4 linked regions of the Daphnia pulex genome follow. The protein of the gene in region 3 purifies or fractionates together with the protein of the main gene of each other region. This does not show direct contact. Links are inferred from orthologs where the notes say so. Each region holds a gene or a part of one and is shown on either strand. Other genes may lie near its edges. The genes, in order: elongation factor 1-gamma-like, elongation factor 1-delta-like, valine--tRNA ligase-like and elongation factor 1-beta-like.

Region 1 (8,719 bases), on a different chromosome or scaffold from region 3:
TAAGGCCTAAGGCTATTGCAATGCGGTTATTCGTTTTTACCTGCAAAGGAAATTCCAGACAGCCTGTCTGGTTTCGTTCATGATTTTTTTTTGGGGGGAAAGGCATGACCAGTGGCTAAATGAGCCTATTACTCCTTTTTCCTTCTTCCCACCTTTCGCTTTGTTCCTAGCCCCCCACAATTAGGACCAAAAAGCCTAACATAGTTCCCGCATGACTGATAGGTGGCTTTTAGGTTGTTCGGATTTTTTTGGACCATACTGTACCGCAGCTGTGCGACACAGCACCATTTGAAATGAATGAAATGGAAGACTGACGGGAAACTAGGGCAAAGTAGGGTTTGTTTGTCAGTTCTACTGACAGGTGGAGCAGCTGGGCAACATGTTACGGATGTGGTCGGACGACTAGTATACGGACGACTTGGCCCGCCTGACACATTTTACTTCACAAAAATGTCCAAAAAAGACGCATTCCATGGCCTCGCTCAAGGATACCGGAAAAACCAATTTATTCCCATAAAAGACTAGACCATCCACCTCTATCAAATCCGTGCTGGTGTGTCGAACATTTCTGTATAGTCGAGGGTAATTAATTTTTAACCTCGAACAAAATTCAACATGAAATTTTTTAAATGAGCTTTATTATTGTAGTGTTTAAGATGTTACATCCAAAACCCTCCGTGAAAATATTAAATATTTCTGTTAAAAAAACATTTTATATTAAATTTTTTTTATTTTCGAAAAAATATGGTACTTCTAATTATAAAAAAATTGTTTAAAAAATTTCCTCGTGTTCACGTCTTTTACTTTATAAGTTATCAAATTTTCATCAACAATTCAACATCACGTGTAAAATAGATTATTTATGAAATTAATAGTGACAGACGGTCAAATTTTTTTCAGCCGCGCGGCAGCCGTGGTTTACATGGTGCCTTATGGCTAAGCGGCCGTGACAAAATTAAGTTTTTCCATTAAACTATAATACTTAAAAATTAGAGGCTTTTGCCATTAAATAAACAAGATAATGCCCGATTAATTTTAAAAATGCCAATTTAAAGCAATGTATAGCTTTCTAATTATTGATTGGCAAAAAAAGTCCTTTTTGGACTTCCGATTTCTCAAGGGTGATTTTGGTGATGTTGGTGAGCGTCGTCTACAAATTTATCAGAAATTAAGCTCCGCCCCTAAAAAATGGCTGAGGGCCCGTTTTGAAATGGGAGGCGCTTATTTGAACTTTGAATTAGAAATACACATAGATAGGTTCATTTTAAAAATATTTAAAAAATACCATGAGAATCAGCGTAAAAAACTGATTCTAACCAAGTATGTTTTAAACAAATTTAAATTTCATGCAAAGAGCCAAAGACCCTATTTTGCTCTTTTTCCCCCTTTTTCGTGCTGCCTATATCCCCTCTTTTGCCCTTAGGGCCCAAAGGCGAAAGACGAAAAGGGTGAAAAGAGGGGAAAAATAATAATAATACACCATGTTCAATTGATTTCTAAAATAAATAGCACTAGCAGCTCTGGCACTAGTATAATTATAGGGGATCATAGAGTTGGTTAACGTCCGAAGTTGCCAGTTCGTTGGACGTTGACGATTGGACGGTTGACGTCCAAAATCCAAAAATTGGACGTCAACCGTAACCGTCCAATCGATCATTCGTCCAAGTCGAATTGGCAACTTCGGACGTTAGCCAATTCTATTTGGCGTTCCGTATTTTACAGGCGTTTTCAGGCTGATCTGTATGATAGGTTTTTCTTTTAAGTGTCACAAATTACCCTTCACGGTGGGAATTTTGTTATATCATGCAGTTAAGAATGCTGAATCGTATGAATAATTTTATAGATAAAAAGGAAATTAAAAAATATTATGGTAAAAACGTTAGGGTTTGTCAACATGATCACAGCTCGTCTTAATGACCAAGCGAACCAATAAACACTTTGTAGCTGGGCTTAGAGCTTGGATCACTTGAGTATAAAATAGTTAGCCAAATTGTTGGTGTAATCGAGCACTAGAGGCACTACTGTTGATTATTCCTATTTCGCCTGTGAAATCGATCCATCAGCTTGGAAAGTCGGAGAACCTGGTGCTCTGTTGTATGTTAATCCGCCTTTTTTTGTAAAAAGCTTTTGTGCACCATTTTCTCGTTCATAACAAATTCTAAATTTTGTTTGATAATTGGTATACCAAACCACGCAAATTATTGTTCAAAACGCTTTGAGATGTATAAATACTGCTTTGAAGTTATTAACATGAGCGTGACTTGCAACTCATCAAAGGGGAGTGTAATAAAATGGTCTGTGACCCCAATGGAGAATCAAAGAGGGGATTAAGCAATATATTCTTAAATCAGCAAGCTAAAACAATTTAATGTAAGTCTGAATGAACTCCAACATATCAAGTAGCTCATCAGTTGTATTGATAATGGTTGTGATACAACACTCCACGAGTATAGATACCAAACTACTTGAAAATCTTTCCCTGGTTGAAAGGACGACCATTTTTATCAGTGCCGGACCAGGCAAAATACTCCGCCACCATCTTCTTGGTTTCATCTGAATCAGGGTTCAATTTCTTCCAGTCGTATGTCTCGTAGTCAATCTGCCAATCAGGACACAACTAAACAAAAAATATTGTTAAAACTTAGATCCATTACTTCAAGCAAAGCTAAGCTTAAAAACAGGTAAGTCTTATTACTTTCCCTCTACTTGTTACACAAAATATCGAAAACAAAAAATATTTGTGTCTTTGAAAGAGGTAACATCATTGTAAACCATCTTACCTGGAAAGCTAAATCTTGCCCACGCCACACCCAAATTCCTGAAATGGTACAATCATTGTCTGTTCCAAATAAGCACATGGATGCAAAGCATTGTTTCCTCATTTTATCCAAACGTTGATACATGCCTATTAAAAAATGTGAATATTATGGGATTTCTTCTTTGAAAACAAAAAAAAAAAAAAAAAATTGTGGAATATACCAGAGATTAAATTGCAAGACATGAAGACTTTGGTAAGTTCATCAGAGTATTTGTACTCTCCAAACCAGATAGAATAATTTTCCTTGTCGAATTTGTCCCAGAAATAAGGGATGGATTTTGACTCTTCATTGTTAGAATAAAATCTTTTGAAATCATCCATGTTGAATGTTCCTTTGGGCATTTCATCAAATGGATCCTTGGACTTGGGTTCCTCTAATAGGGCTGCATCAGCTGCATCCATTTCCTCAGCCTCTTCTGGCTCTTCCTTCTTTGGCTTTGGTTTCTCTTCTTTTTTCTCTTTCTTCTTTTCATCCTTGACAGATTTCTTTTCTTCCTTTTTCAGAGATCCAGTTATTTTACCTGTTGACACATTGGATAAAAATGGCAATGAATTAAATGTTTAGAATTTTCTTACTCTGAAATTCAGCAAACTTCTTGGGATCAACTGGACACTCTTTCTGGCATATCTTAAAGTCTCCAATGATGGCTTTGAATTGTGGTTGGTTAACACAAGTAATAAACCATCTATTCAAATTTTGATAAGGCTTCCTGTTAGTTTCATCACAAATGCTCTCATAAAGGTGGAGAAGATTGCTAGAAAGAACAATATCTGCAAGAGTTATTTTCTCTCCAACCAAAAAGGTGCGTGTAAGAAGGTGGTTGTTGACGACAGACAAAATAGCCTTCAATTCTTCTTTAGCATGTTCAACAGCCTATACAAACAATACACCAATTAACATTGTACATATAAAATTAGCTTTGCACAAATAAACTAAAATAAGAAACATACTTGTTTGTTGTACTGAATGATTCCAAGGACAGGGAAAACAATAGTACAGGACAGTGGAAGAATTTCACTGTCGGCAAATGACATCCACTGAAGGACTTGGGCCTTTTCCACGTCACTGTTTCCTCGAAGCTGCTGGTTGGCAACTGTTCAATAACACTCATTACATCTCAATTCCAGAGGAATACTATTTTAGTAGTAATATTTACCGAAATATGCAATTGCATTGCTCTCAGCAATGCACTGCCCATCTTGGGATTCAAAAGCTGGAACCTATCAATACAATCACATAGACTTAAAACTTTCCACCATGAAAATGAACCGCATAAAGAAAATTACCTTTCCCAACGGAAATTTCTTCAAAAAAGTTTCACTCTTGTTGGTCTCGCCGAAGACGAAGTTGGAAGCGACATTTATTTTGAAACCAGAGTATTGAGCAGCAATCAAAGCCTTATTGGCCCTGAAGTTGCTTGGGTAAGTGTACAAAGTCTAAAATTAAAAAAACCCGATTAATTAGATATTGGACAACAGAATCACGCTTTAAAACACAAGAAGATGTCACGGAATTTCTTAGATTCAAACACAGATCGTACTTACTCCAGAAGCCATGATGATCAAATGCAGGGACGAGAACCTGACGTGGAACCAAGAAGAAGTCTGCTGCAAGAGAGAACGAGCTCAAACGTGAGAATAGTTGAAAATTTCTACATGGCAACGCTGTTAAGCGCGCAGCCCTTTGTTGGTCTGCCTTGCGGGCCACTCTTGCAGAGTTGCAGTTAGGATGTGGAAAGTGGAATGTGGAATGTGGAAGTGGAATGTGGAGGTGGAAAGTGGATACTTAAAACGGAATAGAGCTAGAACTTTAAAATGCAAACACTAGAATGCGACACTAGAATCGCCGCTAGACCGACCTGGAACCGACGGAACAGAACTATGGTTTTTTTACGTTTACTCATGCTCTTCTTGTCTTCTAGAGATCAAAGGCTACCTGACTTCTATAGGCTGCCGGTCGTGCCACGACATCTTTGGGGAGAAACTGAGAATCCATGAAAGCATCAACTGTCTTAGCAGCACTTAGCAGGAAGGTGTACTTCGGTAGTTCGGTCTCGGTGGTACTTCGGTACTTCGGTAGTCGGTACTTCATGGACTTAGCACGAAGACAAGAAGTGTATCAAGCTCAAACTGTGTTAAAAAGAACAGTTTTACGCGAGTCAAGAAAGGACTTCAAACCAAACAATTCAAATATTTTCAAATAATTAACTCAGTGCATTCATCTGAAGTCGGAGCGTTAGTGTAGAAAGTAAACAAAATGCCCGCCATTGTTTTAGAAAAGCCGAAACTCAGCAGACCTATGTGGAATTCATTAAAATCACACATAATCAGAGAGAGACAAAGGAAAAAGCAAGGTTGTTATGATGAAGCTCCACAATAATTGTGTTAATGTTTCAATTGTGCTCTGTAACTCATTTACTCTTAAACAGAACAAGAAGCTGATGCTGAGGTCGAGCGACAGCGAAGAGAAAGAGAAGATCAGCAAAAAGAACAAGAGATGACTTTAGAAGAAACTAAGGAACAAGTTGCTCAGTCAGAATCCAGGCTTTCTCAACTGAAAGAGGATAAGCATCAATTATTTCTGCAACTCAAAAAAGTTCTAAATGAGGATGATACGAGAAGAAAAATCAAAGAATCCAGTTTCAAGTATGCTATCTATTTTTTCTTTTAAAATTCATTCTTAGCATAGAATAAGAAGACAATATTCATGCTGAAATATCCTAGGAAGTGTGTAAATAGTAAATGGACACTAAAAGTTTAATTTGGTAAAATTTTCCCTACCAGTGTTCATATCAAGAGTGATCAATATCCTATGAAATTTTTGTCCATATGAATTAGATTAGAAACTCAAATATTTTTCATTAGCAGTGATATGATGCTGTTTCATCCCTATCCATCTGGAGCTCCATTAGTGCATCCAAACACCCATGGTTCTGTGTACATGCATCCTAATCTTGGGGCTTCAAGGCCAGTATTTAATGGAGGGAAGGAAGAAAGCATTTTGAATTTGCAAGGAGTGCCTCCTTCATCACTTTATGGACAAGCAATCAATATGGTTCCTTCTCTTGGACATCAAAGTCAAACAAATCAGAAGAGACCTCGTAGTCCATCCCCACCACCACCACAGCTGTATCATTCTTACAAGCCACCAGCCCTTTCCCCATACAATTCAAGTATAAATCATTCTTGGTGAGCACTATACTGATTTATTTATTGTTTACTTTCTTTTCTAGAGAGTATAGGTAGTCCCTATGGAGGGAGCCCTGCAGTTCCAGGCAGCATCTTTTACACTCACTCAGTTTCTGTAAGTGCTGCCCATAGCGCAGCCAGTGCTGGTTACCAACTTCCTCCAGGATCCATGTACAGCTATCCCAACCACTCGGGTTCTTCTCGCCCAACATATTCTGTTCAGACTCCCGCATCATCGAAAGATGATGGTAAGCACCATGCAACTGTTTATGTAGGACAAGGAAATGTGCTATCTCAGAATGCTCAAAGAAGTAAGTTTTTATGGATCAATTCTAATTTTTTTATTTTAATGCAAATTACGCTATTCAAGTAATTCATGCGATAACAAGAAGAAGAAGAAAAATTAATGTTGATAATTTCTGGAATTATAACTTAAGAGATTACTGAAAATTTTTATTGTACTTATTTGTAGGCATCCCAACAAGAAATTCTGGCCCATCTTTGAATCAAGGTTTAAAATAATTATTTTTTTTTTTTCTTTTCAAATATTTAAATTTCTGTTTGTTATTTTTTTAAATGCAATTCAAGGATATCACCAGCCAATTGAACATATGATAAACAAAAATTCTAATGCTTACGGAACTACCGAACAAGAGAAGATTTTCATTTCTCCTTCTCTTGGTTCTAGTCCAAATGTATCCACGAATGTCAATTCTGTTTCGGCAGGAGGGTTGCGGCCTCATACTGGGTTGTTAACTCCAATTTCGTTACCTGGTGCCTCACATCCTTCTGGAATTCCTATTCAGCAGCAAAACCATGCATCGAAGAGCGGTAGCATCATAACAGGAAACCCGTTACGACCTCCGACCTCAGCTGGCTATCACTCTGCTATACCTGCTTCCAATGTAAGTGAAAATAAATTCCCCGTCTGTTCGCCATGTGTTTAAATGATCGAGTCTGTTTCCAGCTTAATAATGACCAAATCGAATCGATTGATCTTGATTTATGTCATTTACAATGAGCCAGTCAATAAAATTGATTTGCATTATATATAATGATCAGTGTGTCGGGGATTGTATTCTAAATTTTAATTTATTTGATGTACGAAAGCTGAGATCAAACATTTGATTTCGATTGGTATTACAGGCAGCTGGGTTGTCAATTTAGAACTGTTTCGAATTACCTCTCCAACAACATTTAATATATAAGTAATTTTTACTCGTTTATTCATGGAGAGTACTCATTCCATTTATATTTTCAGGCGCAAAATAATCGTCTAGTGAATACACAGAGTGGAGGCCAAACCTGTCATCCTACCCGTTATTACGGAAATTCGAGTTGAGAAGGAAATTTCTGCAACAAAACCTGCACTAAACAACTAACAATCGACCGTATGATTATTGTTTACTCCATGTAATGTTGCTTTTCTTCGGTTTATTACATTCCTTTATAACTTCAATATTATTTTCGTGAGTCTCTCGGGTTTGATTCTTACAATTGGCTAGAGTCTGTACTAAAAGTAATCAAGTTGTCAAGTCCCAATAATAATAATTACGTTGCGTAAATTTTATTAAGTGAAGATTTTAAATCAAATAAAAATAAAGGATAATTAGTGTTGCAATCTTTACCTTCTAGGTTAACTGTAGTAGGAATAATAATAGGAGGCAACGAATTATCATTTACTAAAAATATAAAAATAAAAACATCAACATCGCTATAATTTCCAAATAAAACAAAAATGTCAGTAGTGAAGTTTCAAGGATCTGTTGATCCCGAAAACTGCATAACTTCTAAAACATCTTTTGGAACAATTACGAATCCTCTAGGAGGAAATATCGATGCATTTTAGATTTGAAATAAAATATGAAGGTGCAATCTTTAACGCATCACGTTAAACTGAGCGTCCAACAAAACCAAAACGATCTCCATGTCGCCAAGCGGGTGTGTTACCAACTGAAAACCCAGTTTTATTGTTTTATGTAACTTTCCAAACGTTGTCATGGTGATCTAAGCATAACAAGCCGGGCCCCTAAAAAGCTAATATTATTTTGATTTCATTTATTGTTCAAGTTCACCCATAACACGATGTCTGAAGTGGAATTGCTTAAAGACGGGACAAATGCCGAAGAAGAACAAGCCCTAGAAATGGAAGAATGGAGTGATGATGAACATCAATCACAAACGGTAAAATATTCGCTATCTTTCTTCAAACGTTAATCTACCTATTTAACTATAACCGCGGCCGTGTGTTTTATATTTATTTAAACTTGATGTTTGCGTTTTCGTTTCTGGATAAACAATTTCAAATACGTTTAAGCTTATGTTTAAATAAGTTTATGTTTAACTGCTATTATGCGCTTCTTTTTTGTTTTGCTTTTAACTTCGCTTGCAACGCTAGGCGGCTAAGCTCATACAGAAATATTTTATTTTATCTTTTAATTTAAACGCTGAATTTGTAAATGTTTTATTCGTGGCTGTTTAGTGAATTTGGTATAGTCAAATAGCGTTTTCACTTTAAGTAGAACATTTTTTAATCGATAATTTTTTTCAAGGTCTTTATTCACAACATAATTTTAGAAGCGTATAGAGACTGACGCATACAAAACTGAATTACGCGTGGGAAACCGGCTAAATGAACCTTCCATCAAATTGGTCATAACTAAGCCGGCAATCAAATTAAGAACACATTTTTTTTATCAATTTGCATGGAAA
Region 2 (7,983 bases), on a different chromosome or scaffold from region 3:
AAATAAATACACTCAATTAACGACTGTTATCGCCACGGAATCATATGATTATCGCGCAGCCGACATAAGGGCCAAGAGGACATAATTTGTGTACTCACCCAAGATAATAGACGTTCCGATAAATCAACACCGCGAACGTACAAGTGTGTAAGGCTTATAATAAAGCAAGAGGACTGCTTCTTAGTAAATAAGCACGACGAACTGACTTTTGGACTTTTTATGTCGACTAAGGAGAGCCGACCATGGGGTCAAAATTTTACAAAGCCATCTGCATTCAAAATTTGTAAATTCTCACTTTTTCTTCTAACAAAAAAACAATCGAGGAAAGAGTCACCTGGCGGTGGAACTTTGCAACGCCAAGACACTCCGGATGACAGATCCGTCTTAACTTGATTTGCGCTGCTGGTTTATTATCTCTGCTTTATTACTCATCAGTCGATTTCCGTGTTTTCCTATTTTACTTATTCATTGTTTATCCCACAGTACGAGTAATACAGTGTCATTTTTACCATGGGTATCTTTTCTGGTAGTTCGCCATTTGATCTGGATGTCGGTAAGGCCATCGTTTACTTACGTTATTTGAGAAATAGGACAAGCAATTGAATGAATACCTCATTTGGTATTCTTGCATTGCTTCATCCTCATCGAAATTTTACTCACGATTCTTTACCCCTTATAGAAAAGGCAACCGATGAAAAGAATATGAGTGAGAATTGGGAAACAATTCTTGATGTCTGTGACAAAGTAAAAGCGATAACTACTGGACCTAAAGATTGTTTGAGAGCCATTATCAAACGATTGTATCATCAAAATCCACATGTTGCCAAGCAGGCTGTCAAAGTAAAGCTTTTTTTTTTAAATATATTTCTCAATATGTGGTAATTAATTTTTCAATAATTTTTAGCTTTTGGATGCCTGTGTGAGCAACTGCCATAAACCATTCCATTTAGAGATAGCGTCAAGAGATTCCGAACAAGAGTTGTACAAGCTTATCAAAAATAAATTACACCCCCAAGTAGCTTCCCAATTAAAACAGTGTTTAAAGAAGTGGGCAGAGGGTGATTTCAAAACCGATTCTCAACTCAGTCTTATACCTGCTTTATATAATCGTTTGAGGCAGGAAGGTGTTGATTTTACAGAGACAACTGAACCAGTGAGTGCACTACATGGTTAGTTAGTTTTATAAGATATTAATAATTTGATTTAATTATCAGGTTAAGAAAACAGTTGTAAACAATAAAGATGTGGCAGCCAGAGAAGAGGAGGATATTGCAAAGGGTATTCCAATTTAATTCACAATAATTTGAACCTTAAACAATAATTTGATCCTATTTTATATTTTATGTAGCAATTGCACTGTCACTGAAAGAGGCAGAAGTGACCACAAAAGTTTCTTCGTCCTTGTATCCATCGATGACGACATCAGCCCCAATTTCACCTGTGAAAGAACGGGAGCGACGTAAAGTGCGTGCATTATATGATTTTGAGGCTGCTGAAGATAACGAGTTGACATTCAAAGCTGGGGAGATCAGTAATTTTGAATATATTTTTACTTAACCGTATTGCTGACTAATTAAACATAATCTTTTTAGTTCACGTAATCGATGATTCAGACCCTAATTGGTGGAAGGGGTCCAATCAAAGAGGAGAAGGTCTTTTCCCGGCTAATTTCGTGTCGACTGATTTGGAAGCTGAACCAGAAGTGATGGTGGCAAGAGACACGTCTAAGCGAGTCCAGTTTAACGAGCAAGTTGTAGTGGCCACTCTCGAAGAGACGGCCAGCAGTGAAGCAGAAGTCGAAATCGATGAAGCTAAAATTGATCGAATGCTTCATGCTCTTCACGAAGCAGATCCTACAGGGGAACGCAACGATCCGGAAGAGTTGAAAATGCTAGAAGGTATAATTATTTCTATAGTTTCAATATAAACCAAAGTTCTGATGTTGTGAAAATGTTTATCTAAATATTTGGTTTTCATAGATCAATGTGGCGCTATGGGCCCATTAATTGATGCTGAACTGGAGAAACTTGATCGTCGTCACGCCCACTTAACCAAGTTGGGTAGTCATTTGATTGAATCACTGGACATGTATCGAAGTCTTATGCGAGAAATGCCGGCGCCTCCCCAAACCCATCCAAATATGAACATGGGAATGTCTGTCCCTGGCTACCAATATCCTGGCGCAAACGTTGCACCCATTGGGCCTGTCGGAGGCATGAATGTATCCGGGAACATGAAGTACCCTTTTCCTCAACCTCAAGCACCTCCACAGAGTCCTTCTTTAGCTCCATTTGCTCCACCTGTTAGCCATTCTGCTACATTTCCTCCTAATCAAGTCCCCAATCCAATGCCTTATGGAGTGGTTAATATGGGCCAACAACCTTTTGTTAACCCATATTCTGGCCATCCTCAGAATTTCTAATTTGTATTCTAGCTGCGCAATTGTACAGTTACAATTTCATTCTCCTTGTTGTAACCCCCTTTCTCCTTAGAGTTCAATTCTTCCAACGTTTCGGTTGTTAAATGTCTTACAATTTCATCATCCTTTACCTACAACCTCATTTAGTTACTCTACGTTGGTTAAAACAATAAATTTCGCAGAACTTTCCGTTTGATGCCCTTAAAGCTGTTATTTTTTATTTCCACAAGTTACGCAATAGTAATTGCAGATTTCTCAGTGATGTTGCTTGAAACAATTTAAATCTTGTTAAAGGCAGCAATATCAACAGACTGGACTAAATCTTCAATTTCTTGGATAGTTTCAGTCAGCCAGTCAACAGACACTTTATCATCTTCGACGACTGTGGAAATCTGGAGTTTCTTGATTCCATATGCCAGTGGAACCAACTTGGCTGCAAATTAAATAAAAGTTAAACATTGCAGAGGATAGTGTCGAAACTGACTAATTTGACTTACAAGTGCCCCAAAGGAGGCCATCGGACGTAATTTCACGCACACGACGCTCCATTTCAGCCATATCGGTTTCGTCATCCCACGGTTTAACATCCAAAATGATGTTGGATTTGGCAATCAGAGCAGGTTCTGTTAGGGAATATGAAAAATAAATGTAGTAAGATACAATTATTATGAAATGGACAATTCTATTACTTGTAGATTTTTTAGCAGCATATGCTGCAACACGTTCCTGTTTGATTCTTTCAGCATCCTCATCTTCTTCATCAGATCCAAACAGATCAACATCATCATCGTCATCATCATCAGGTTTTGCTGCTGCTTTAGCTGGAGGTGCTGGTTGAGGAGCACTAGGTTTTGGTGCTTGAACTGCTGCTCCAGGTTTCGAGCTTTCCAAACTCTTGACCCTGGACTCCAAACTCAGCACCAATGAACGGAGATCATCGGTAACTTTTTTCAAATCTTTATTTTCCTGCTCCAGTTGTTGGAGTCGACTGGTCACATTAGATGGAATGGCAGAACCAGAGGAAGGTAAATCCTCAACCTGTACATGAAATCAATTTCAATTTTCTATTACCATGTTAAAAATAGTTGAACTTACAGCAGCAAGTGAGCTTTTAATCTGATCCCTGGCTTTCATTATTTCAGCAACAACTGAACAGGATGCTGGTCCTGTTGAACCCTGAATTTGATGATTCAAACATTTAAGAAATATTCAACTAAAAGGTAAAATTAACATACCTTTGCCAAGATTTCTTGGAACTGACGTTCCGCATCTTCATAACGAAACTTCTCATACCAGACTGTTTCGCGAGACAATGCTTCATTTACAGCGCTGTTCACCATTTTTAATCTAAAATATACGAAAATAAGGCATATAAATGAATAAACGAAACATTTTCTTCTTTGATTTCTAGTCACCTGTTATACAATGGAGCAAGATCGAACGTTCAGTAACCAAGAGGGGTGACAGCTGAGCAGAACAGTGAGCAGTGAGCAGTTAGGTGAGCAGAATGAGCTCCACGTTGAGGCAGGAAAACAACGATGCCAAGCTGTAATTTTTTATTGAGAGTTGTATTTGTATCTTTCTGCTTTTCTAATTTAAAAAATGATTGACAACAGGGTTCAACATTTCAATTAATCAGTAATATTTAAAAAAAAAAAAAATTATTAAAATATACAATACAGTGCAGATATATAAAGCGAAAATTGCCCGCGAAAATTGTTATTACTCAAACTGAAACATGGTGTATACGTACAGACTACAGCTACAGCGGCTACAGCCAGAGTCTTCCTGGATTACTCTGCTACAGCATAGATAATCGGCATGGATACCGGTACCAGCATAATCGCCAGTGTCTGATCTAGAAGTCCATAATTTCCGGGGGCTTCCTTGTCTTCCGTACGGTACTCAAGAAACCTGATTTTTGCATGTGGCATGTGGGGCCTTCCTTGGTCGCATCAAACATACGTTCCGTGTTCCGTCCAAGGTTTTAGCCGCGATTGGGTCCTGAAAAATGTAACCGAAGGTTTAAAAAAAAATTAGCAAAATATCTTTTTTTTTATTGCAAATTTGAAATTTCACAAAGATAATTTAAAAGTTAATGCGATGATTCAGCGTATATACTATGAATGATATTAAATTACAATTAAATGTTTATTGCATATAGGGTGGCAAATATATCTACTGGAATGGGAGCACATCCGGCGACTTCGAGTACGGCTGGGTTCGCTTCCTTCAACACTTGTTCACCTACACGTTCCACGACCTGGTTTTCGGCTGCCGCTTGAACCGGACCAGCGGCAAGGTCATCACGGCAAACCAATGCGGTTTCTCCAAAATCGAGCAGCAACGGATCAGGACCCCGCTGAAGAAAGGATTCCACTCTTTACTCTTTGAACATTATCGTCGCGGCCGTTGTTATCGGGATCGCTACGAAATAAGACTTTGAATTTGAATATAACCAACGATACTATTATGAATTTGGAATTGAGAATGATTTCAAAAAATAAGAAATAATAGGATTATATAGTCATTATATTAGGCGTTGCTGCTGGACATAGGCCTACCATCATACCATAGCACACCGAATAACGGCCGAATAAGGAATAACATGTCAAACGCATTATGTAAAATGGATATAAAAATATAACAAATATATAATTTTTATTTAATTTTCTTTGACCCGTGTTACACATAACTGATTACGAAAAAAAAATCCGCTATATAAATATACGGCACGACGGAAATCAAATAGAATCCAATTTATTAAACGCTGCTGCTACACAACGACACCAATACACCCGAATAGTACGAAAGGGATCATGACAGAATGACGGATCCCCATAAGTAACTCCGTTTATAAGTTTAAAAAATATTTTTCTGCTCATAAGTAAAAAAATTCAAATATCTTATTTGCCACAAATAAAAATTGTCATAAGTAAATATATTTAGAGGTATACCAACAGTAGCCTACCTACCTAAAGTTTGGGAACGCGCGAGTGCGCGAGAGAGAACCTTATGGGGAAAGGCGTTTTTTCTCGGTGTTCCCAAAAATGAAATTTTCGTCGGATTACGACGAATTTTTTTTTGGTCGTAGCCATTATGGATAGCATTAAGCTGAATTTTTTTTCAGATTTTTCCTATCAAGGGAAGGGTAGGTTTAAAATGGATACCAAAGTTTGGGAACACTCAATATAGAGCTCCATGCAAAATAGAGTACTTTGAAGGTGTATAACTACAGAACGGGTTAAGGTAGGAAGATTTTTCGCGTCATATTTAATCTAGTCAATTGTAAATTGAAAGTCTAGTCTAGGCACTCTAGACAGAGAAGGCTATCTGCCATGGCAACAGCAAGCACTGCTGTGATCAAAAAGGACATAATTGCTGCTGTGAAAAAAAACGAAGCAAATGTACCAATCAATGTTTATGCCGAATTAAAAAAAAACTGACTTATACCTTTGACCTCGTGATAGCTTTGTATTTTACCATTCCGATTTCTCTTCTTTTTATCACGAAAAAGAACTGAAATAATGTCTTTAATCTGTAACCTTTCTGTTTAATTTTCTGTATTGTAACACTTGTCTTTAAATTGAATATTACAGAGAATTTCATGCGTTATAGAAAATTTTCAGCGTGAAAATTGGTTTTGTAGAAATTTAAGGGGATTTACTCGATTTACAGGGATTTTAAAGAATTTTTGGGTAAAAAGTAAAAAATGTGTTTAGGGATATTTCTGGGGATTTTTCATTTTGTTTTTAGGGTTTTTCCCCCTGATCTGGCAACTTCTAGAGGCGCCTGTTTTTTAGAAGTGGAAGCACTGCCTGTGGGAAAATATAACTGTTTGGCTATAGGTAAACATTTGTTTAGTAGGCTATTAGCAAACCCCTCTTATGAGAGAGTAGGCAATTTTACACGACTAATCCAATCAAACGCAATAAATAATTCAGTAGTCTAGATCATCAGGTTGGTCGAAGCAGATATGGAAATTGTTCAACTAGGGTTGATTACCCAAATGCAATAGGACATTAGTGGCATTCCGATCATTTTCTGGCACGGGTCTATGTCCATTGAAACGTGAGCGGCAGACTAGGCATCTAGTTGCCCTAGACAACTCAAATGTTTCCACACACATAAAGCAGAAAATGTGTCTGCAAGGTGTGATAACTGTGTTAGGCACTTGGAGCCAACACACTGGGCAGAGACCCTCGTGATTTACTTCGGGAAATAGTTGAATGGGAACTTCCAGGTTTCTATCCGCTGCTTCTCCATCCGCCAAATTATCTTCATCTTCGGAATCGACATCTAGGAGTAGACGGCGGTTTTGTTGAAATCTCGCCATGATACGAGCTCGTCGATTAATAAAGTTGGCTTCTTGAGCAGCAAAAAACCGTTGAAATTAATTACCGACGACATCTCCATCTCTGGAAGAATCATCTGAATCCAAAAAAGGCGGCATTGGGACAGGCTGATCCACAACACGATCTGGGTCAGGCGGCTGATCCGCAACACGAGCCGGTACGGTTGGCTGATCCACAACATGAGCCGGACCACGCGCCTCCCCCCAAGAGGAGGGTGGCAACGGGGTCAGGGGTCGTCCCCTTACTACAGGTAGTACTGGCTGAGCATTTCCGACTCTTACTTACCTTCATTACCTTCATTTCTTGGGGCTCCACGATTAAGGGGGGGGGGGCTTTTTTAATGCAGTTTATCAACGTACCTCCTTGAGAGTGAAACGGCCATCGGCTTTGAAGACCAACAATTTCTTCACTAAATCAGTGGCCTCGCTGGAGATGTTGCTAAAGGCTTCCGGATGAAAGTTGATTTGGACGGCTTGGAGAGTGCCTCGGTTGGTTTCTCCCCTGAAAGGCGAAATGCCCGAGAGGAAGAAGGAGGTAATGACACCGAAGGACGAGATGTTGGTCGGGAAACTGACTAATTCGTCGTTATCAGTCTCAGGAGCCGCAAATTCCGGTATTCCGTAATCGAGGGACGCCAATTTTTTGGAGTAGATGCGACGGGCCAGTCCAAAGTATCCAATATTTAGCTTATCGTCATCGGGGCGTGACAGGAAAAAGTAACCGGGCGTCAATCCCCGATGGGAGATTCCGTGGCTGTGCATATGACCAAGTCCTTCCAACACTTGGCGGATGTAGTAGGCGATATCGTTTTCGGTGACGTGCGGCCGTCGAGTGACAGCATCCACCAAATCACCTCCACCGGCCAACTCGGAGACGAGTGTCAGCGAATCTTTGGTCTCGTAGGCGTCGATGAGACGGACCAGTCGCTGGTGACTCAACCTGTTCATGATTTCTAATTCGCCCGTCATGCGAGAACGAAATTCCGGTCCAGTTCCGGTAATGATTTTCGACGCGAAACTGCGAACAGTGGATCGCTTCACACTATGGTATGTCACATCCTGCATACCACGGCCCAGCTCGTAATAATCGCCAAAGATGCGGTTGTTGTCCACCTGTCTGGTCTTGACGTTTCGTCCCCTGTGATAGGTGCGGTAGGTGAACTCGAACTCGTCCTCGTTGTCCTCCACGTGAATCATGGCTGACGCCGAA
Region 3 (6,944 bases):
TTTTTCATTCTTGTTACTTACAATTTCATAGCGAATGAGGAGACCGTTCGATTGATTCACATGTCGAAAGGACAAGCTTTTGCCTATCAAGTTGACTTGAGTAAACGTGAAGAGGTTTACCAAATGGCCCAGCGGGTAAAACGAGAAGTCGGAAAGGTAACATTGCAGAAATTACAGAAACGTTACAGATTTTATTTTAATAATTATTTTTGATAAGGTTTCTATTTTGGTGAATAACGCTGGTGTAGTTTCGGGTAAAGTTCTTCTCGATTGCTCGGACGAACAGATTCAGCGGACTTTTGACGTTAACGTTCTAGCTCATTTTTGGGTTAGTTATTTATTATTGTGGATGCAAATACTTTTCGTGACTTATTTTTGACATTTTTTATTCAGACTGTCAAAAGTTTCCTACCTGATATGATCATGCAAGATATGGGTCATATTGTTACCGTCGCCAGTTTAGCTGGTCTAACCGGAAGTGACCGATTGGTGGATTACTGTTCTTCCAAATTCGCAGCTGTCGGTTTCGACGAATCGCTCCGGACGGAACTGGCTGTAAGCTTTTTGGTTCATCATTTTTCATTTTAATGTTGCACTGTATACTTATTTTTCCAAAAATTTATGTCTCATAGATTGATGGACGGAAAGGAATCAAAACGACGGTATAACCTTTTTTCTTGTTGGATATCGAAAATGTTTTCACGGTGAATTGAATTTATAGGTTGTATGTCCGTATCTCGTCAATACTCCACTTTTCGCGGGAGCCAAATCAAAGTACTGAGCATTAAAATCACGCATTCAATGCACATGAATAAAAAGAACAATTTTTTCAAATCAAGGTTTTTACCCGCTTTGGAACCGGAGGACGTAGCGCAAGCAGCTATCAATTCCATTTTAACAGACGAAGAAATGTGCGTCGTTCCGCGCTATATCTCTTGTTTAATGATTTTAAAAAGGTAAATCTGATAAACGCTAATTCGATTTGTGGTTCTTCTCCAGAAAATTCATTGCAATGATTTTATCCTATTTTTGTCACAGATTTTTACCGGTGAAAGCTCAAATTGCTTCTCACCGCGCTTTGGGACTGGGTGAAATGATGAACAATTTTGAAGTTGCCAAACCAAAACACAACTGAAAATTAAATTGCACGAAATTAGTGATAACGGTTATACGGATATTATGTGGAAAGATCTTTTCTTTTGTACCGTTAATCGTATTTCCTTAATTTTTTTCCTTTAATAAAAATGCAAATACACCGTTACTATAATTATCTGCGTACTTCTATGACTTTCTTGTCCTAACATAATGTTGCCCTGCTGTAATTGAATTTATTACGACGTTCACCGAGAATCACAAGTTATGCATAAAAACATAAGATTAAACTTGTTTATTCTTTTAGTATAAATTGGATGCCTCTGAGAGATTTCATTCCACACATTTGGTAAAACGAACTTAGGTCGTTTTGAGTATTTGTATAATCTCTTCAATTCTGTATTAGAATGTCGGAAATATCCGTTCATGAATTGCGGCGTGGACTGTTCAGTACACATTCGAAGTTGCTAGAAAATTGAGAGAGAGAGATTAGAATTACATCCCACCGACCAAACATTTCAAGAAAATTCATCGATCAAGAAAATCACTAAATTTACCCCAAATTTACCCTGGAATCGGATGACTACCTCAACTTGATTCCCGGATTGCAAAAAACCCTTTTTTCAATCTCTTCTGGCTTCTCCGTTTTTTATACAAAATGTCCAGGATTTACAAAAACAAAAAAAAATTTAAGAAACAATGCTCTATTATTTTCCTAGGAAGGAAAAAACAAAACCTATGCGAATGGATTGTGTGCGTATATTCTGCCCTTGTTTACTTGTTAATTATTATTTCTCTGTGGTCTCCTTATTGGAAAGGGTTTCACCGTCGAATGACTCGCGCCCCGTGTGGCCGTGTGTGTGTTTGTCTACTTTTTCTTTGTTGGATTTCGTTAAGTGTCACATGGAAAGATGCGGCTGGATTAGTAAGAATAAAAAGGCCCAATTACTGAAGATGATGGAACTCTAAATTTAAAAAATGTGAGTGAGCGCGCGAGCCTGTGAATATACTTTGAGCCCGCCCCCTTTGACTCTCTATTTCTCCTTTGATCACAAACGATATTGTAATAATATCCTAATTCTTGTTGGCATTGCCCACGCTGCGTCTTCACCTTACTATTTTGATTCAGCAACTAAAATCGAGTCAAGATACTAATAAGAACTAAAAAGAGTCACAGATGGTTTCAAACAATGATCCTGTAATTATTGCTTAGTAAACAAAACCCAATTGCTTTATAGGAATAAAAATCTAAAAAAGACGTTAGAAGTGCTTCAAATGTGTATTGATTCCCTACACATTGATTGCAACAACGGCCCCCAAATCCCAAATTATCCAAATTTAATCCATAGTGGAAAGAGTTGCGAAGGCGGCGTCAAGTTGCTGCAACTCGGTTTCAAGTTCAACCTCTTTCTCCTTGTTGGTCTCCTGAACAGTGAGAGGGACTTTTTCTGTATAGTTTGGAACTACCATGCCTTCTTGGAGCTTGTCCAATTGTTGGCGTTTCTTCTCCACTAGGCCAGTGATGCGTGTCTTTTCTTTTTGCACGTCAATCAGACCCTCCAAATGAACGATGGCGTCACACTTGTCTGAAACGGTTACAATAGCACAGCCACGTGTGTTACCTCCGTCTGTCGAGACGGAAACGGGTTGACAGAAGGACAACGTGGAAATATTGCCCGTGAAATGAGTAAGCATGTCAACCACCTGTCAGAATCCAATCAAATGGTTAAGTAGAGCATATAACCAATGGTTGAACTAAATTACCTCTTGATCCGAACATCTTAAAACCAACTTAGTTTTCGTCTTGTTTGGTAGCATGTAGCTGGCTCGGACAGACCGAACGCTGGACACGATTCGGCTAACCAATTTCACGTTTTCTTCCAATTCTTCATCTTTCCAGACTTGAAACTCGGCGTCAGTCGGGTAAGGAGCGATACAAATACTCGGCGGGAGAGTTTCTATTGAATAGAGTAACAGATAATCATGTGAATTGTTTAAAAACAACATTTTTAAATAACTTACTCTGCACGGATTCAGGGCGGGGTAGTCGCTGCCACAGCTCTTCCGAAATGAACGGCATAAACGGCGAGATTAACTTGAGTCCGGTGTCGATACAAGTGACGAGAACCGAACGAGCCGCAGACTTTGCAGACTCGTCTGAACCTTGGAAAACAGGTTTGACAGCTTCCTGTAAAACAAATGAATATATATCAGTTAAACAATTCGGTTTGGTAATACACAACTGAAGAATATCTCACCAGGTAAACGTCGCACAATTCATAAAGGAAAAAGTTGTAAATTGCGCTGGTGGCACGGGGGAAATCGTATTGTTGAAATCCCGCATTACAGGCCGAAACGGCAGTGGACAGGCAGCTCAAGATCCATTTATCCATCAAACTTAGTTGAACCTATAAGAAAAACAATTTTAATAAATAACTGACATGTAAAACTAAGTCAATCAATGCATGCTCGTGCCAGGAGCGGATGGGGTGTGGGTCAACTAAAATAAGATGCAAGATAGAGGTTGCAACGTGCAAGGTATCATCTCTTGCCTGCTTCCTCAAGCGGCCGATATGTTGGAACCATCTCTCCAAGTGAGGATAACTTGACGGGATCTTCCTTTGTCCCAGCCCGGCATCCAGTTGCCGCCAGACTAGATCGTCTTCAGCAGAGTACTGACAACCGCTGAAATAGGAAACGTGTTCGAGCCGAGCATTCAGACCGGCAAGAAAAGCCGGAGTGATGGACGGACGGGAAATCATTGGACGATTACTTGCCTCGTTTAGTGTCTGAATTTCGGAACCCTGAAGATAGGTCAAAGCAAATCGGGTGGCGTTCCAAAGCTTGTTGCAGAAAAATCGGTATCCTTGAACACGTTTGACATCCAAGTTGATATCTCTGCCCTGTGCAGTGTACTGGCACAAAGCGAAGCGCAGAGCATCCGTTCCACATTCGGGTATGCCTTGTGGGTAGTCTTGCTTCTGACCCTCTTTGGCTCTTCCAACTTCAGCTGGATCGAGATTGCTGCCATCCAACTGAGCCATGAGTCCTTCGAGGCTGATTCCGTAAATGACATCAAGAGGATCGATGACGTTGCCCAATGATTTTGACATTTTGCGACCATGGGCGTCGCGGACCATGGCGTGAAGATACACTTCAGAGAAGGGAAGTTTTCCCATCAGCTTCTGTCCAAAAAACACCATTCTTGCAACCCAAAAGAAGAGAATATCATGGCCTGTTTCTAACAAAGTAGTTGGGAAAAACACGTCCAGTTCATCCGTCTGAAATTAGAAAAGAAATTATTGAGTTGTTCTGTGTCATATTACTAGAAAACAAACGAACCTTGTCAGGCCAACCAAACACGGAGAATGGGAAAAGAGCAGATGAAAACCAAGTATCAAGAACATCTTGATCCTGTTTGAGAATGATTTTTTCTTCGGGAACGTTGAACCGCTTAGCAGCGTTAGTTCTGGCTTCGGCTTCTGTACGCCCAGACACCCAGAACTCATTGTCAGCTTCGTCTCCTACTTTGGCGGATGGCTCGTCTATGGTGACGAAGTAGGCTGGGATACGGTGACCCCACCAAAGCTGTCGAGAAATACACCAGTCTCGGATGTTGTCCATCCAGCTGAACCACGTTTTCTGGTGCATCTCCGGCACGACTTTGAGCTTCCCAGATCGGACAGCTTCAGCTGCATCAGCTGCCATTTGGTCGCATTTGACATACCACTGAGGCTTGATCATGGGTTCCACAATGTCCTTGGAACGAGAGCAGACAGGAACCACCATAGGATTATCTGCCGTACCGCGGTACTGTCCAACTTGCTCCAACGCCTCAAGGACGGCTTTGCGTGCGTCGAAACGCTTCATACCGGTGAATTGGCCGCAATCTCCAATGATCTGCCCATCATCGCTGAAGATCGTAATCATGGCAAGATTATGTCTCTTACCCAGGTCGTAATCGTTAGGATCATGAGCAGGTGTAATCTTGACAGCACCTAGAAATATGCAAAGTATTAATTTCCTGTAAACTCAGTCGAGGCGAGGCTTGTAATAAAATTACCTGTTCCGAAATCCTTGTCGACATAGTCGTCAGCTACAATGAGTAGCTTACGTTGGCAGAAGGGATGCAGGGCATATTTACCCACCAGATGGGTATAGCGCGGATCTTGCGGATGTACAGCAATACCCGTATCGCCCAACATGGTTTCCACACGAGTGGTGGCAACAACAATTTCTTCATCGGACCCATCGATTTTGTAGGCGAAGGAAACAATGACGCCAAATTCGATCTTTTCCTTGTAGCCGGGGACCGAAAGCTGTGTGCGACCTGGAAGCTCAACCTTGTCGACCTCAATGTCGGATATAGCGGATTTGAGCGTGCAAGACCAGTTGACTAAACGGGTGGATCGATAAATCGTGCCGTCTTGATGCATCGTGACAAAAGCTTCAAGAACAGCTTTGCACAATTTTGGGTCCATCGTGAAGGATGCTCGATTCCAATCTAGTGACGATCCCATTTTCTTCAACTGCTCGTAAATCCGATGGCCCTTTTCATTTTTCCATTCCCACACTTTTTCGATGAACTTTTCACGTCCCAGATCATGACGATTAATTTTTTCCTCACGCCAAAGTTTTTTCTCAACGACCACCTTTGTATTTACAAATAGTAAGTGATTGATTAGTTTTACCTCTGTTTTCGGGATTGAAAAATTAGATTTCTAATTACCTGAGTGGCAATGCCAGCATGATCACATCCAGGCACCCACAAAGTTGTCTTTCCAGTCATCCTGTGGTACCGTGTTATGGTGTCCTCGACGGAATTGGTCAGAGCGTGACCCAAGTGGAGAGATCCTGTTACGTTTGGCGGAGGGATAACCATGACAAACTGACCATTGGGATTTGGTGCCTTGATATCTCTCTATCAATGCACAGATGAAGTTTAGTTCATTTAAATTAACTTAATAGAATAATAATACTACATTGTACTCTGGTGCAAAATATCCTTCCTTCTCCCACCATGAATACCAGCAGGCTTCCACATAGCGTGGACTGTAAGACTCTGGCATTGGACAGGTGGTATCTTTCTTCTGACCAGGTGGAAGTTGTGGAACTATTGAAAAAGAACAAATAAGAAAACCATAGTTAAATTTCTATGTGGGTTGTCAAATTCGAACATGTATACTTTCAATATCAGCTGCTTTTGGTTTGACTGGGACGTCCTTTTTGGGTTTCTCAGATGCTTTAGTTTCTGTCAACTTTTCCTTCTTGGCCTTGAATTTTTCCAATTTTGCTGCTTTTTCAGCTTCTTTTTTTAACTGCTTTGGGGTTTTCGCTGGTAGAGCTTCAGCTCCACTTTCATTGCTTGCTGTTACTTGCACTTCTTCCATGTTGATTGTTTCTCGAAAACTGAAAGGCACTTGTGATCCTAAATACCTGTTGTAAGAAATACTTTTATAGACTGATGGTTGAATGGCTGTAAGATCACTGTAACATGAAGTCCCAATCACTCAATATCAAATAAATGCATGATGCAACAAGGTGAAAAGGAATGTGTTGAATGTTATCATTTACAACTATTAGTTGCATACAAGGACTCCAACCAAATTTTAGGGAAAACTAAAAGTACCCTAGCCTTGATTACCTGCACTGCTATATTATTAGAATCTGAAGAATTTCGGGGAATGAAGGAATCTGATTCTGATCGTTCGATCGATATTGCCGACCTGTCAGTCTTCAAAGGCGGTCAATAGCAGACGATTTCACGAAGAAAACGTGCGAGCAACATCAACCGCAAACTTCCGAATTCCACATTTTATACGATCCAATAATAACTCCAAACTTCTACGTTT
Region 4 (7,747 bases), on a different chromosome or scaffold from region 3:
AATACATTTTTTTCAAACTAAATATTATTTTAATTTTTTATTGCAACATGCACTTTAAATGGGTGATCATATGGTGGTGAATCGGTGATCTCGAAGTTTCCGCAAGCACATTTTTATTTAGGCTAAGCGCACGCTCGTCTTCTGTTTCACATTCAGTCTTACTATCGTCGGCAAGCGTTGCACGTGGGAACTACTCAGCTACATTAAAGTTTAATTCACCTAAAAAGTAAGTTTTGGACGTTAATTATCATCTGTTAAAATTAGTAGATGTCAATAGTCAGTTCCTCAGTGTTACCGGCTTAAAATATGGATTATTTAAGTCTTTTTTTCTGTTAAAAGTTACCAGTACATAGCGTTAGCAGCGTGTTATCCATTATCTAACAGATCTGTAACTTTTTTTATTACTTTAGAGATGTATCGCCTACCAAGTCTTCTGAGAACAGCAGCTCTTCGCCAGATCGCTCCTCAAGCATACAGAAATTATGCTAAAGATGTTCGATTTGGAGCTGATGTACGAGCCTTAATGTTGCAGGGAGTAGATGTTCTTGCTGATGCAGTTGCTGTAACCATGGGTCCCAAGGTAATTTCAAAATTAGATTTGCACTTCAATTCGGACTACCACTTACAATTTGTTGCTTCTATTTACAGGGACGTAATGTTATTCTAGAACAATCATGGGGCTCACCTAAAATCACTAAGGATGGTGTTACTGTAGCAAAGGGTATCGAATTGAAAGACAAATTCCAAAACATTGGGGCCAAGTTAGTTCAAGACGTAGCAAATAATACAAATGAATCTGCTGGTGACGGAACAACTGCTGCAACAGTCTTGGCTCGCTCCATTGCTAAGGAAGGATTTGAAAAGATAACAAAAGGTGCCAATCCTGTTGAAGTTCGTCGTGGTGTCATGCTTGCTGTTGATGCTGTTATTGAAAACTTGAGAGCCATGTCCAAACAGGTTACTACTCCAGAAGAAATTGCTCAGGTAACTAATGAGACAATTCATTTTTGAATTAATGTTAACTGGAATTCCTTTCGTTCAGGTTGCTACCATTTCTGCTAATGGTGATGAATCAGTTGGTAAACTGATTTCTCAAGCAATGAACAAAGTTGGACGAGAGGGAGTCATTACTGTCAAAGATGGAAAAACTTTGATTGATGAACTTGAAGTCATCGAAGGCATGAAATTCGACCGTGGTTACATTTCACCCTACTTTATTAACACAGCAAAGGGCGCTAAAGTAGAATATCAAGATGCGTTGGTCTTGTTGAGTGAGAAGAAGATTTCTTCCATTCAATCCATCATTCCTGCTTTGGAACTCGCCAATCAACACCGCAAACCCCTAGTCATTATTGCGGAAGACATCGATGGCGAAGCTCTTAGCACTCTTGTTGTTAACAGGTAAAAGTTTCTTACCTACATTTTTTAAAGAAATTGTAAATTAACGAAAGTGTTTTTCAGACTGAAGATTGGACTCCAGGTAGTTGCAGTTAAAGCCCCAGGATTTGGCGACAACCGCAAAAATACGCTTCACGATATGGCCAATGCTACAGGTGGCTTGGTCTTTGGTGATGAAGCAAATCTCGTCAAGCTCGAAGATATTCAGCTGCACGACTTTGGTCAGGTTGGAGAAGTGGTTGTTACTAAAGACGACACTCTGTTGTTGAGAGGTAAAGGCCGCAAAGAAGACATCGCCCAGCGTGTTACCCAAATCAAGGATCAAATTGCCGAAACAACATCAGAATACGAAAAGGAGAAGCTGCAGGAAAGGTTAGCCAAACTCGCCTCTGGAGTTGCTGTCCTTAAGGTATAATATTCTCTCAATAAAGCTCCACGGGTCATTTTCTAATGTTTTAATTCTTTAGATTGGTGGATCAAGCGAAGTTGAAGTGAACGAGAAAAAGGATCGTGTTAACGATGCACTCTGCGCCACCCGAGCTGCCGTTGAGGAGGGTATCGTTCCTGGTGGCGGAACTGCTCTACTTCGCTGTATTCCTATTTTGGACAAGCTGTCCTATGCAAATGAAGATCAAAAAGTTGGCATCGACATTATTCGTCGCGCTTTGAGGATGCCTTGCATGACTATTGCTAAAAACGCTGGAGTTGATGCTTCCGTCGTCGTCTCTAAAGTTATGGACTCTGAAGCTTCCATTGGTTATGATGCCCTCCGAAATGAGTACGTCAACATGATTGAACGCGGTATTATTGACCCTACTAAAGTTGTCCGAACATCTCTTACTGATGCCGCTGGAGTTGCATCCCTCCTCACAACAGCAGAATGTGTTGTTTGTGAAATCCCCAAAGAAGAGAAGGCCGATGGCGGCATGGGAGGAATGGGCGGAATGGGAGGCATGGGTGGTATGGGAGGTATGGGCGGAATGATGTAACGTCCCAAATCCAAGTCAATTTCTGTTCCAACCTTTCATGTTACTTACCTTCTTGATTGTAGTGGTGTTGTCAAGTTGTATAGCGGTAATTTTGGAGATTTTCATTCCTCTTGTTTGACATCCCAGTTTATGTAATCATGTTACTGCTGTTCAATCTTGAGTCATTCATCGATCTGGAAGGCACAATTATCAGCTCTACAGCGTAGTATTGGACACGTATGAATCACTCGTGATAGGAGACACTACTGTCGTTTTTTTTTCGTAGTAAATCATTATAAAGTCTTACTTTCTAAAAAAAAAAAAAAAAATACATGAACAGTTTTTTGTAAAACCTTCTATGTTTTTGAAAGAGAAGGAAGGTAAAGGGTATAGTTTGGGTTGAATCATCTGGAATTCATCGATAAAAAATTGCTAAATAAATTGCAATGAACGTAAAAGTTAACAACTGACGTTTATTCGGTTAAATTTTGAAACAAATTACATAAAATATTTCTAGTGTAGTTGGATAAAATAACCAATCTCAGGACAAGGACTTTACTAACAAATGGTCGTTTTTCAATTAAAATAAAACAAGCCCTTCCTAAAGGGTATCATAAAATGACCTTAAGAATTCAGATTAAAATTGATGCAGTCATTAAGTTTTGCGCAAGCACAACGAATTGAAAATGCACATTGCTCATAGAAAATATGATTTCATTCCAAATCAGTAATGAAATTTCTGAATTAAAAATTAATTGTTATAGCTTTAAAAGTGCATTAAACTTTAACGTGTCCTTGAATTTTCCCGTAAAAATTCGCATTTCCCTTCCCTTTTACTGCCTGGGGGATTTAGGACGACGGTGGACAAACGAACTAAAATATTTAGCTATCTGGCAACACGTAACCGTCTCTCTTTGGTGTCTGCCATTGCCGAATCGCGTGTCAATTTCTACCCTCAGTCGGTTTCTTCCTTTCAGACCTGATAAAATAATCATGGCTTTCGGCGATCTTAAAACTGAAAATGGTGTTAAGGCCCTTAACGAATTCCTAGCCGATAGAAGTTACATTGAAGGGTAAGTTTTTCACTTTATTTTAAGTATGTGTTGCCGGGTACAATAGAACTGTTTCTTGAGCATGCTTTCCGTTTCGTTATATCTAAAAATATGTCGATGTTATATTCTTGTGTATAGATATGAACCGTCTCAGGCGGACGTGACCACCTTCCAAGCTTTAGGAAAGGCCCCTGCCAGCAGCTTCCCACATGCTCTCCGCTGGTACAACCACATTAAATCATTTGGGTCTGAAACCAGCAAATTCCCAGGTGCCAAATCTGCTGCTGCAGCCCCAGCCAGCAAACCAGCCGATGATGATGATGATGATGTTGACTTGTTTGGATCTGATGACGAAGAGGTACTAACCATAGGCAAATCCCTCAGTTAATGAGTATTAACAGAAATTTCCGCTGTAGGATGAGGCTGCTGAGAAGATCAAGGCAGAAAGAATTAAAGCCTACAGTGAAAAGAAATCCAAGAAACCTGCGCTTATTCCCAAGTCCTCAATTGTCCTAGATGTTAAACCCTGGGATGATGAGACAGACATGGAAGCCATGGAGAAAGCTGTAAAAACCATCACATGTGATGGTCTTATTTGGGGACAGTGTAAGTATTTTCAATGAAACACATTTTTTACAGCCAATTAAAACTGTATTGTTTATTCAGGTAAATTTGTACCATTGGCATATGGTATCAAGAAGCTCCAAATCGGATGCGTCATTGAAGATGACAAAGTTTCTGTTGACTGGCTTACAGAGGAAATTCAGAACTTCGAAGATTTGGTCCAATCAGTCGATATTGCCGCTTTCAATAAAATTTAAATAAAATCATTGTGTCGGAGCTGAGCCGGCTCGTGTTATCAGATATTTTGAATGCTAATCGTGCAAAGTGCCTGGCTCCACAATTACTGGCTGATTGAAATAAACATGCTGGGTTGTTACTCATAGTACACTTCATTTGCCATCATATTATGAATAGATTCCGTAATGCTCAAGCCTAGTTCATGTGGTTAAAGGGAATGTCGATTACACGAAAGAAGAATTCTTAGTTAGCTTTAAACCTTTTAATTAAGTCAGGGGTATGGAGAGAAATTCTCTCCATATCCCTGATAAAGAGTTTAAGACGTGTTCATCAGCTCAGCTGTTTTAAAAAGAGAAGTTAAGTTACAGAAACTTGGCAACAGTGTTGTGTTTACATGCTTCGTGATGTAGTCTCGACCAAAAATGTGTTTAGTTCTTCAGTGTCGTACTAACGTACTACATGAAAATTTAGTGAGTTCATCTGTTAGATAAGTTGTGCCTGAAATGTTTCATCATAAGAAAAGGGAGTTTTGAGAGAAGGTAGGGAAGTTTATGTAACTCTTGTTTCTTGTAGGCTATGTTTATTGGCCAAGGATTATTTTTAAATTTATGACTGAGACACAAAATTGTAGTGATTAGTATGCTAAAATTACGACTAAAGAAAGGTAAAGGTGCCACAATTGGTTGTGATTATTTGGATTATTTTTTAAATTTAGTGACTGACAACTCACATGTGGCATTAATAGTCATTTTAAAAAATCAGGACTTTAAAGTTTTTATGTTTGAATTTGATTTTAGCATGAGGATTCTCAAACTTTCTGTTAGTATTATTTATTAGTAGTTTATACTAGCAAATTAGCAATTACTAAAAAAAAATCTTTTTGCTTCAAGGAGTGAACTGCATACCAGTTAACCAGCAGCTTTGTGCTTAGGTTTAGCATGTACCACCTTATTACAAATTTTGGATGTGTTTTGAAGCTACTGACCAATAACTCAAAATTTGTTGATCAAATTATGTTGACATACTGCTGCCAATATTAAAATTAAGATTCTACAGACACTAGATAAAAAATAACTGCAATTTAAAAGTTCAGTGTATTTTAACTGAGAATACCGTTTGAAATATCTGCGTAATCCGCATGTCACCACAACAATTTCAATTTTGAAAGATAAAATATGCAAACTTGTTTTTGACTTGCTCCCTTGGATCGCATTCGTACACTCTCATGACTCGCATTTAAAGCATTGGTACATGGTATTCTGGTAAATCAAAAATAAGTGGTCTTGTTTTAGGTGGAACCGATTTTCCGGTTTTGTACAGCAATTTAAAAGCCCCAGTCCCGATTGACATTGGTATTCCCATGATGATGCATTCGCTTACTCCCGTAATCTCATCTTCCTGCCCGTAGTATGATGCATCAAATAGATGATCCGAGGTCCTTTCGAACTAGCAATCAAATAGTAATATTGGAATGATAAAATATATTGTATTTATTTGTGTTTTTCTTACCGAAGCTAACATCAGAACCGACTCTTTCATTTTTGCCAATCCATGTCTCGTGATGCCCAAAATTTCACCACGGCAACTCATCAAATCTGAAAGAAGAGCAACGTGCCGGCGATCGACACTCATGCCGTGGCTTTCCATTGTGTATTGAATTTCCTTGGCAATAGTCGCCCTGTATTAATTAAACAATAAATAAATAAGTTTTTATCTAACAAATAAAGAAACAATTTAAATTACTTTGCAGCTTCAATTCCCAAGGTACTGTAGACTTCCAGAATATTGTTTGATGTAGTTGAGGTCCCTTTAACACCGTAGGTCGCCATCACTTCCCGCATGTTGTCACCTTCAACAAGTAGGTAATATCTTGGTGGTTTTCTTGTGTCGTCAATATTGATGACAGCTCGACTGACAGTTGGCAAACCCTGAAGTAATGGAAAATATTTATGCCTTACAATTGTAAATACGAATCTCGACCACGCACCTTGATGACGACTCTGGGTAACGTTTCCTTGAGATGTTGCATAACGTGATACATCGAAGATTTCGAAGATGGAGCAGGTTTGACGATAACGATGGTTTCACTTATGACTTTAATGAAACTAGGCTTTATTTTCAGCTTACATGTGCAGAGGCTGAAATTGGAACATTAACAATTAAATTAATTAAGAAATTTAAATAAAATGAAAAGATTATTAAATTGCCTCCACTGAATCGAATTTGCGTCCACTTCTAATTTAAGCAATCGGATCCTATTCATGTCCAATTTGATCAACATGAAACAATCATCGGGTAAGTAGACTTCCTCGAAATATTCTGTTACCTATAAAAATAAAATTGTTAAAGAAGTTAAAACCCTAAGATGTTCCATTTTTACTTCTCCCAGTGTGGTCTTTTCTATCCTTCCTTTTACTCGTCGAGCATACTCAGGGTCATCATCTTTTAAAAGCTGAGTAGAAATGACTGGCGTACTGATTGCTTTTGAAGCATTAATAATTTCCTTAATCCTGAAATAATTCCATCAAACGAAACTAGTGTCATTAAATGAATTCCAAAAATGGCACTGAATTGGAAAATACCTAGGAACTCCCTGTGTGATGTTCATGGAAGCAACACCAGCAAAATGAAATGTCTTGAGCGTCATTTGAGTACCCGGTTCTCCAATACTCTGGGCGCAAAGTGCTCCAACGGCGGTACCTGGCTCAATTTTAGCCCGTTCATACTTTTCCTTAGAAAAGTCGCAGAATTCCACTAACTGACCAACAGTTATGCGCTCCAGGTGTTTTTCTACTGTAAGTAAAGATCGACCTTCCATTTTGAAAAGCTGCCGTACTTTTTTGATCCGTTTGACTTGGCTCTCAACAAAAACCCTGTACAACAAACGCAACACATTATCATGAATATCAATTGAATTTAAAGAAAATAATAGTAACCGGAGCTCATGTTGAAAGTCAACTCCGAGCATTTTAAAAGAATCCGTGTCCATAATTGTGTTAAACGCTTGTTGCAGTTCAATATCATCCAAAGGTTCTTCATCCGGATAAGGGGAAGCGGCTTTGATATGGTCAAGAGCTCGCTGGAAATCAACAGGGCGATCTTTGGCTTCCATGTAAGTAGGATCTAGCCCATCACCTCCATAAACGAATTGAATAATCTCTCCAGTGGAGTTTCTCACAGTTGAATCGTACTGGCAACAAAGGTCTTCCAACGATTTAACTAGTCGCCGTTGCATGTAACTAAAAAAATACAAAATTTATAACATCATTGAAGTCATTCAGTGCCAATGTCGAATAACCTACCCAGTTTCAGCTGTTTTTACGGCTGTGTCCACCAATCCTTCACGCCCACCCATCGTGTGGAAGAAAAATTCTGTGGGAGTAAGTCCGGAGTAAAAGCTGTTGGAGACAAAACCTTTAGCAGCCGGGATTTTCGAATGTCGCTTGAAATGAGGCAAACTACGATCTTCAAAACCATTGGGCACTCGTTTGCCGTTTAAAGCTTGTTGTCCTACGCAGGCAATCATCT

What was found.
Region 1: the proteins of valine--tRNA ligase-like (region 3) and elongation factor 1-gamma-like purify together in Homo sapiens (affinity purification with mass spectrometry; 6 studies listed by BioGRID and IntAct, counting the BioPlex papers as one, with this or other methods). This does not show direct contact. The link is inferred for Daphnia pulex from reciprocal best matches to the Homo sapiens genes VARS1 and EEF1G.
Region 2: the proteins of valine--tRNA ligase-like (region 3) and elongation factor 1-delta-like purify together in Homo sapiens (affinity purification with mass spectrometry; 5 studies listed by BioGRID and IntAct, counting the BioPlex papers as one, with this or other methods). This does not show direct contact. The link is inferred for Daphnia pulex from reciprocal best matches to the Homo sapiens genes VARS1 and EEF1D.
Region 4: the proteins of valine--tRNA ligase-like (region 3) and elongation factor 1-beta-like fractionate together in Homo sapiens (co-fractionation; 3 studies listed by BioGRID, with this or other methods). This does not show direct contact. The link is inferred for Daphnia pulex from reciprocal best matches to the Homo sapiens genes VARS1 and EEF1B2.

What each region holds. Positions count from the first base shown.
Region 1 is NC_060020.1:8,826,085-8,834,803, reverse strand, and holds elongation factor 1-gamma-like, read right to left. Parts: upstream 4,659-8,719; 5' UTR 4,376-4,658; coding exon 4,364-4,375; intron 4,256-4,363; coding exon 4,106-4,255; intron 4,040-4,105; coding exon 3,976-4,039; intron 3,913-3,975; coding exon 3,770-3,912; intron 3,693-3,769; coding exon 3,395-3,692; exon of another isoform or gene 3,340-3,394; coding exon 2,980-3,339; exon of another isoform or gene 2,906-2,979; coding exon 2,781-2,905; exon of another isoform or gene 2,754-2,780; intron 2,682-2,753; exon of another isoform or gene 2,618-2,681; coding exon 2,462-2,617; 3' UTR 2,396-2,461; downstream 1-2,395. Other genes in the region: uncharacterized protein LOC124193185, read left to right, coding at 5,076-5,172, 5,248-5,464, 5,684-5,991, 6,052-6,318, 6,480-6,518, 6,596-6,912, 7,269-7,349; intraflagellar transport protein 46 homolog, read left to right, coding at 8,093-8,191. UniProt on the Homo sapiens protein: Probably plays a role in anchoring the complex to other cellular components.
Region 2 is NC_060024.1:3,939,398-3,947,380, reverse strand, and holds elongation factor 1-delta-like, read right to left. Parts: upstream 3,977-7,983; 5' UTR 3,835-3,976; intron 3,767-3,834; 5' UTR 3,760-3,766; coding exon 3,655-3,759; intron 3,596-3,654; coding exon 3,515-3,595; intron 3,458-3,514; coding exon 3,109-3,457; intron 3,043-3,108; coding exon 2,917-3,042; intron 2,853-2,916; coding exon 2,698-2,852; 3' UTR 2,611-2,697; downstream 1-2,610. Other genes in the region: signal transducing adapter molecule 1-like, read left to right, coding at 511-553, 680-840, 905-1,153, 1,215-1,278, 1,349-1,531, 1,593-1,898, 1,980-2,422.
Region 3 is NC_060025.1:7,154,453-7,161,396, reverse strand, and holds valine--tRNA ligase-like, read right to left. Parts: upstream 6,886-6,944; 5' UTR 6,737-6,885; intron 6,529-6,736; 5' UTR 6,483-6,528; coding exon 6,278-6,482; intron 6,206-6,277; coding exon 6,075-6,205; intron 6,014-6,074; coding exon 5,822-6,013; intron 5,745-5,821; coding exon 5,156-5,744; intron 5,091-5,155; coding exon 4,435-5,090; intron 4,374-4,434; coding exon 3,645-4,373; intron 3,501-3,644; coding exon 3,351-3,500; intron 3,281-3,350; coding exon 3,115-3,280; intron 3,051-3,114; coding exon 2,857-3,050; intron 2,797-2,856; coding exon 2,431-2,796; 3' UTR 2,353-2,430; downstream 1-2,352. Other genes in the region: short-chain dehydrogenase/reductase family 16C member 6-like, read left to right, coding at 32-156, 218-328, 394-555, 633-662, 722-774, 840-956, 1,039-1,135. UniProt on the Homo sapiens protein: Catalyzes the attachment of valine to tRNA(Val).
Region 4 is NC_060021.1:6,591,369-6,599,115, reverse strand, and holds elongation factor 1-beta-like, read left to right. Parts: upstream 1-3,237; 5' UTR 3,238-3,359; coding exon 3,360-3,439; intron 3,440-3,556; coding exon 3,557-3,776; intron 3,777-3,834; coding exon 3,835-4,024; intron 4,025-4,084; coding exon 4,085-4,239; 3' UTR 4,240-4,358; downstream 4,359-7,747. Other genes in the region: heat shock protein 60A-like, read left to right, coding at 413-580, 649-984, 1,043-1,401, 1,462-1,807, 1,866-2,387; DNA-directed RNA polymerase III subunit RPC1-like, read right to left, coding at 5,456-5,665, 5,729-5,897, 5,963-6,147, 6,207-6,357, 6,427-6,545, 6,600-6,729, 6,802-7,092, 7,156-7,458 and 1 more. UniProt on the Homo sapiens protein: Catalytic subunit of the guanine nucleotide exchange factor (GEF) (eEF1B subcomplex) of the eukaryotic elongation factor 1 complex (eEF1).